Danio rerio: one gene and its partner. The protein of the gene in region 1 purifies or fractionates together with the protein of each later gene. This does not show direct contact. Links are inferred from orthologs where the notes say so. Each region holds a gene or a part of one and is shown in the gene's direction. Other genes may lie near its edges. The genes, in order: p4ha2 and col1a1b.

Region 1 (3,729 bases):
GTTGGCATTTGTTTTTCATACTATATACAGTAGTGTGTGCTTTCGCTGTCGTTTATGAATGATTAAATAAATGGACACAAGTAGAGATGATTTTCTTGCTTTATCACTCTCTCTGCATCTTCTTTGCTGATCTTTTCCATTGGCCTTTACTTTTTTAATTTATCGCACTGTCAATAGCTGTTTGTAATCTTTAAAGGTCCCGTGAAGTGCTTTGAAATCTGCATTTTTATTAGATGTTTGATGTAATCTCAACCAAGACATGAAGAGAGGGTGGGACGTAATGTAGCTTCTCACCTTTAAAAAAACAGCCAATAGCGTTTAGTTTGACCACAGCTCTGCCAGTGAGAGAGCTCAAGTGCATCAAATGTGAAGCCTCTTGAAGGGGGCGGGGCATATCAGATACTAGAGAGAATTTGATTGGTTATGATGTGACGAAAAACTGAAGTATGAGGTAATGTGATTAAAATAATATCAGTTTTATATCTCCCTAGACGCAAATTTTGTTTCTGTTTTGGAGCGCAGTAGCTTATAGATATCCTAAAAACTAACGACACTGATACAAACATCTAAAAAACGTTATTGGGATTTCATGGGACCTTTAAAATTGAGACTTTTCTGATTTTAATCGTTTTCTGCACTAAACTTGAAGTCCTTCTGTAATTTCTGTAACACTGATAACATACTATCTCTCAGATGAAAAGTGTATATTTATACTGGATCTCCATTACAGATGAGTGATGTTGAAGCCGGCGGAGCGACTGTTTTCCCTGACTTTGGTGCTTCTGTTTGGCCCAGAAAGGTACACACACTCTATTGATATTTTATAATAAATTGTATAATGTCGGGCGTCATGGTGGCCTCACAGCAAGGACACTGGTTCGAGTCACTGTATCAATTGGCATTTTTGTGTGGAGTTTGCATGTTCTTCCAGTGTGGGTTTTCTCCGGATGCTCCGGTTTCCCCCTCAGTCCAAACACATGCACTATAGGTGAATTGGGTGAGCTAAATTGTCATTGAATAAATGAGCGTGTATTGTGTTTCCCAGTCATGGGTTGCAGCTGTAAGGGCATCCGTTGTGTAAAACATATGCTGGATAAGTTGGCGGTTCATTCCGCTGTGGCGACCCCAGATTAATAAAGGGACTAAGCCGACAAGAAAATGAATGAATTGTATAATGTCATCGGTAATATAATTGCCTCTATAATATATTAAGTCAGGGGTGTCAAACTCAATTCCTGGAGGGCCGAAGCCCTGCACAGTTTAGTTTCAACCCTGCTCCAACACACTTACCTGTAGGTTTCAAACAAGCCTTAAGGACTCAATTAGTTTGATCAGGTGTGTTTAATTAGGGTTGGAACTAAACTGTGCAGAGCTGCGGCCCTTTTGGAACTGAGTTTGACACCTGTGTATTAAGGTGTTACACCTAAAAAAATCTAATAGGCTTATAGGGGACCTATTATGCTTCTTTTTACAAGATGTGAATTTTTATCTTAAAATACCAAACAAATAATGTTTTATAACTCTTTGAAACTCAATCCAAATTGTGTTATTTTGATGACTGTCACTTTAAATTCAAATGAGATTGATCTTTTCAAAAGAGGGCGGAGCTATAAATGCCTGTGTGTCAGCATAGTGGCAGATTCAAAAACATCATTATGCTAATGAGGGAGAGATGGTCACTAGTAGGCGGGGCTTTCCCCCTCTGATGACTCGTACAAAGGGAAAATGTCAATCAAAGTGTTTCTGCAGACTGTTTATATCAAGTGTGATGATAAAAAAACACAGTTAATTTATGTTTACCATTATAAGCTGAGTATATCCACACACAACCTTGTTTAAATCCCTTATAAAATGATTTTTGCTTAATAGGCTTTAATATATTGTATTGATGTTGCAGGGAACAGCAGTGTTCTGGTACAATCTCTTCAGAAGTGGAGAAGGAGACTACAGGACAAGACATGCAGCCTGTCCTGTGCTAGTAGGCAGTAAATGGGGTAAGTGCACTAAATTTTAACTACAGATTATTGTGTACTATATACAGTAGACATTTATACACACACACACACACACACACACTTATCGGCCACTTAATTAGGTACACCTGTCCAACTGCTCGTTAACGCAAATTTCTAATCAGCCAATCACATGGCAGCAACTCAATGCATTTAGGCACGTAGACATGGTCAAGACGATCTGCTGCAGTTCAAACTGAGCATCAGAATGAGAAGAAAAGGAATTTAAGTGACTTTGAACGTGGCATGGTTGTTGGTGCCAGACTGGCTGCTCTATAGAGTATTTCAGAAACTGCTGATCTACTGGGATTTTCATGCACAACCATCTCTAGGGTTTATAGAGAAGGGTCTGAAAAGAGGAAATATCCAGTGTGCAGCAGTTCTGTGGGCGCAAATGCCTTGTTGATGCCAGAGGTCAGAGGAGAATGGCCAGACTGGTTCCAGCTGATAGAAAGGCAGCAGTTACTCAAAAAAGCACTCGTTACAACGAACTAGTAAGGTGTACCTAATAAAGTGGCCGGGGAGTGTGTTTTCTGGCTGAAATTAAACAAATGAGTTTCTCTAGAAGAAAAAATATTATAGGAAATACTGTTAAAAAATTCCTTGCTCTGGTAAACATCATTTGGGAAATATTTGAAAAAGAAAATGCACAGGAGGGCAAATAATTGTAATCTTGCATTAATTTAACTATGAGTTGCTGATGTGGCAATAAAAAAACAACCCCTGCCACTGTTACATAATTGAATATGAAAGTAAACAAGGCATAAAATGTGGTTGTTTTAAGCGCATCAGATGTTCACAAACCTTACAAGTTCCTCTTGTCTTTCAGTTTCAAACAAGTGGATCCACGAGCGAGGGCAGGAGTTCAGACGGCCGTGTGGCCTGACAGAAGTGGACTGATCAGGGATGATGAACGCAGTATATTACCCACAGTGCCTTGACTCTGCACACACACAGAGATAATCACACTCTCCACATTCATCCATACGTGATGTCCGTGAGGGATTTCAGGCTTTATTTTGTGTGTTTGCATTCTCCAGTCAGGTTCACCCGGGGAATCGTGTCATTGTTTATGTAATGCTTAAATTATTGTCCTGTTCTAGTGTTTATTTTATATTCATGTATGATTTGCAATAAAAATATAGGAAATTATGTGTTTCTTTGCTTGCATATTCATTTATTATTGAAATAAATAATGTTTTACATTATTTAAGAATAGTTTCCCAAGTCGTTCAAGAATCATTGCTGTAAACTTACTCTTGGTTTACTTGTGTTGAAATAGAAAGCGTGGGTGCCTGAGCGTGCAGAGCGCAAGCCTGAAGATGCAAGTTCAACTCTGCAGCAAGACCCTTCTCCAAAATTCTGGTTCATATCAATCTTTACATTTTTTCAGATAAAGACTTGACTTTGTAAAGTCAATAATTGAGAGCATTAGATTAGTTAAACAATGGTTGAGAATGTTGCACCATTTTTTACAAAATTCAACTATAGCCCCTTTCACACATTGTATGTGTGAACAGGCCCTTTTTGAAAATACCGGTAAATTCGTTCTGGCTATTTTCCGGAAAGTGAAGTTGTAACATTACCAGCAATTTGCAGGAATGCTGGGCTGTGTGAATGCAGATGGAAGATTGCCGTAATAAGCGCGTGCACGTCTAGAACGTGCTGACGTAAGACTTCTGCTTAAGCCAATCAGAACACTCAGACGCATTTACGT
Region 2 (3,836 bases), on another chromosome or scaffold:
TTATAAAGTAATGCAACTAATAACCTTAAGTTTTGTGAATGTGATTGTAATGCAATAATGTGCACCTTTTTTTAAAGCTGCTTTGAAACAATAATTATTGTGAAAAGCAATATACAAATAAACCTGAGTTGAATTCAAATGAATTGAATTATGATCATTGTGTGTTTCTCTGTATTTCCAAAGGGAGCTCCTGGTAAGGATGGTGATATCGGTAGTCCCGGTGCTCCTGGACCTGCTGTAAGTCTGCTAAAACCTTTAAAAGTTTGATGTATTACAAATCTATTATTTCAGTGTGAACTGTTCTGACTTTGTTCTGGCCTGTCGTCTCATAGGGACCTGCTGGAGAGAAAGGAGAACAGGGATCTGCTGGTCCTTCTGGATTCCAGGTACATTTTTAGATGCTCATCATCAACACAGACCCTTTTACTTGTGTAATTTAGAAGAAATGCCTAGTATTTTTAATAATAAGTAAGTATTATCAATAGCTTTTGATTCATGCGCAAAGCTGGAATATCGCATAAAGCATTTGCAAATAAATCACCATTTCCATCCTAAAAGTCAAGGGAAAAAAAATAATCAATTCCTGATTAACTGGTGGCATTTATCCAAAAGAAAATGTAATTTGTGCATGTTTTTAATGCATATTTTCTAAATTTATGCACAAAATTTTTAATTTTTTGAGTATTAGGCAATATATTTATTATGTGTAGGTGATAGACACGTATACATAGAAACAAAACTGTATAAAAACAATATTGTTACATCGATATTTAAATTTATATACAGTTTGTATCATATTTTAAATCTAAACATAAATACATTTTCTCAAATATTTGCATGCATGTGTGTATTTATATAGAAATAGTCAATATACACATCACACACATATATATTATGTCAAAACAATCTTATTTTTCAACAAATTTTATATTTTATTTTGAAATTATGTGAACAAAACAAACGATGTGGACAATCAGCATACAACATTGAGTATAACAAAAGACATGCATATATAAAATGAACAAAATACAGCAATGCAGGAAGTTGTTAAGTAATATTAATAATAGTAATGCTAACGACAACAATAATGGTAAAAATAAAAAGGATCAACTAAAGAGTAAATGAAAAGCAAATTTTTATTTTGCATGCAATAATTATATTTTTACCTCATTTTTTTTAATGTGATATTACATAAAGTGCATAAAAATGGTTGGACGGAAACATCACTATTGGTGTAATTTAGTTTTATTCATCTGCTTTTTATAATGTAGAGTCAAATCACATAGATGAAGAATACATACCTGTCAACATTCGGTTGTGAAAATAAGGGATACACCCACCATAATAAGGGATTCCCCCGGGATAGAACTGTAAAATACGGGAGAATCCCTGGAAAAACGGGATTGTTGACAGGTATGAGAATAGAGAATAGTAAATATAGTAAAAAAACATTCCAGCAAATCAGGTAGACAGGAGAGTAGTGCAATAATGCTGGTGTATTTCCAGCTAAACTTAAAATTGATTTAGTCATTTAATACAATCATTATTTGTTCTCTTCCAGGGTCTTCCAGGTGCACAGGGTGCTACCGGTGAGACTGGCAAACCCGGTGAACAGGTATGGATGATCGCTCAAACATGTCTAGAGTAAAAACAAAAATGATTTCTCAGAGCATTTCTCACAATATGAATGTTTAGGAAATAACCATAAAATATGACTCCTAGTCAAACTTGGTCAGAACAAACTCATCTTGATAATGCTTTGATTGAAAGGCACAGTATCTAATGGATCACTATTGACCAGCACTGTCCTGCTTGTAATGATTCAGAAGGCTTTTTAATGAACTGAACTCTCTTAAGGACATTTTTAGCAAAGTGGCACCAGATATAATGTTAGAATTTTTATAATGTATTAGCGCTAAAAATCCTATTTAATTTATGTACCATTTGTTTGTTGTTTTAATTGTATATTTAACATTAAAATGTTCTTGCCATGAAAAAAGCCTTGGTTGCTGACATGGCATTAAAAAAACATTACCAAAACTGCTTCAGACAACTGCATTATAACAATATTTGCACAACTTTTATTACTGTAGTTTCTGGAATCCCTCAGGCTCATTTGTATGAAGAGTTTTTGAGTATAATATGTCACGGTTTACTTCATTTTGCTATCCTCATTTACATAAATAAACTATAGTGTCCTGTACAACAATACAAACAAAATCCAAACAATTATAGCTGTTGTCTGAGTTTTTTTGTTTGTTTTACTGTATGCTTGCTGTATGGAGTTTAGGTTAAGTCACCATAATCAAGCGTATTGTAAACAATCATTTCATATTAAAAAAGCCAATCAGCATTTAATCTGTGTTATTGATTATGTTGATTGTTTAACAGGGTCTTCCTGGTGAAGCTGGTCCTTCTGGCCCTTCTGGTCCCAGAGTGAGTATATTCACATAAATATCCTTCATCTCAATCTGTAATACACACCTCTGTTTTCCGCTTTTGCACTTATTAAATGTATTCGCACTATTACTGATATATATATATATATATATATATATATATATATATATATATATATATATATATATATATATATATATATATATATATATATATATATATATATATATACATATATACATATATAGGAAATTCTTTTTGTATCTGTATGTTGTTTTTCAATTAACAACATACTTTAAAACAAAATATAGATGCAAAAGAAAGAAAAAGAAATAAATAGAAAAGCAATATTTTATAGTATGAAATGATGTAAAAGCTGTTTAAAAATATATATATTGCTTGATTATTTCACATTTTAAAAATGTAGTGTTATACATTCCATGCAAATCAAACGCTATTGGCTATTTTTTTAAAGGGGAGGAGCTACTCTATGCCCCTCCCTGTCTTTGTCAGACATCACACAGTACTGCACATTTCAAAGCACTTCACAGCACCTTTAAATATAAACAACTACAGTAGTTTCTGTTTACTTGTAATGAAATACAGTAGAGTAATGTTGTAAATGTCTCCCGTAGGGTGACCGAGGTTTCCCTGGTGAGCGTGGGTCCCCTGGACCTGGTGGCCCAACCGGCCCTCGTGGAGCCCCTGGATCCCCTGGTAATGATGGTGCAAAGGTAAGACTCCTGTTTCAATAACATAATGAGATATATATTTGTATTCCCGTCATCAGTACTAAAAAATTAAATAAATAAAAATAATAACTTGACATAGAATTTAAATATCGGAACTCTCTAGGAATTTAAAGGGATAGTTCACCCAAAATTGAAAATGTACTCAATATTTACTCTCCTTCAAGTGGTTTTGTTCGTCTAAAAACAAAAGAAGATAGTTTGACAATGTTGGTAACCTGTAAACATTGCCATCGATAGTTGGAAAAACAAATACTATAGAAGTCAATAGTCACCGGTTTCCAACATTTTTCTAAATATCTTCTTTTGTGATCAACAAAAAAACAGAACTCATAAAGGTTTAACACAAGTAAAGATTGTCCTTTTTGGGTGAGAGCTTGTAAGTTTATCTGGATAAAAGCATTTACAAAATTAATAAATGTATGGCAAATGTAAAATGCAGTACAGAGATGTCAGAGAAATAACCTGATGCTTTTTGTGTGTTCAGGGAGAGCCTGGTGCCGCTGGAGCCAACGGTGGTGTCGGACCCGCAGGGATGCAGGGAATGCCCGGAGAGCGCGGTGCTGGAGGAATGCCCGGAGCCCGAGGAGACAGAGTAAGATTATTACACTCATTCATCTGCAGCATTTTGACATTCTACCATCAGATATTTGTGCAAAATGATATCCGAGTTAGCGTTCATGAGTG

Evidence for each region.
Region 2: the proteins of p4ha2 (region 1) and col1a1b purify together in Homo sapiens (co-immunoprecipitation; 3 studies listed by BioGRID and IntAct, counting the BioPlex papers as one, with this or other methods). This does not show direct contact. The link is inferred for Danio rerio from reciprocal best matches to the Homo sapiens genes P4HA2 and COL1A1.

Annotation. Positions count from the first base shown.
Region 1 is NC_133196.1:46,842,062-46,845,790, reverse strand, and holds the end of p4ha2 (prolyl 4-hydroxylase subunit alpha-2 precursor), read left to right. Parts: intron 1-730; coding exon 731-799; intron 800-1,897; coding exon 1,898-1,994; intron 1,995-2,841; coding exon 2,842-2,912; 3' UTR 2,913-3,164; downstream 3,165-3,729. UniProt on the Homo sapiens protein: Catalyzes the post-translational formation of 4-hydroxyproline in -Xaa-Pro-Gly- sequences in collagens and other proteins.
Region 2 is NC_133187.1:3,504,442-3,508,277, reverse strand, and holds part of col1a1b (collagen, type I, alpha 1b), read left to right. Parts: intron 1-183; coding exon 184-237; intron 238-332; coding exon 333-386; intron 387-1,561; coding exon 1,562-1,615; intron 1,616-2,391; coding exon 2,392-2,436; intron 2,437-3,035; coding exon 3,036-3,134; intron 3,135-3,636; coding exon 3,637-3,744; intron 3,745-3,836. UniProt on the Homo sapiens protein: Type I collagen is a member of group I collagen (fibrillar forming collagen).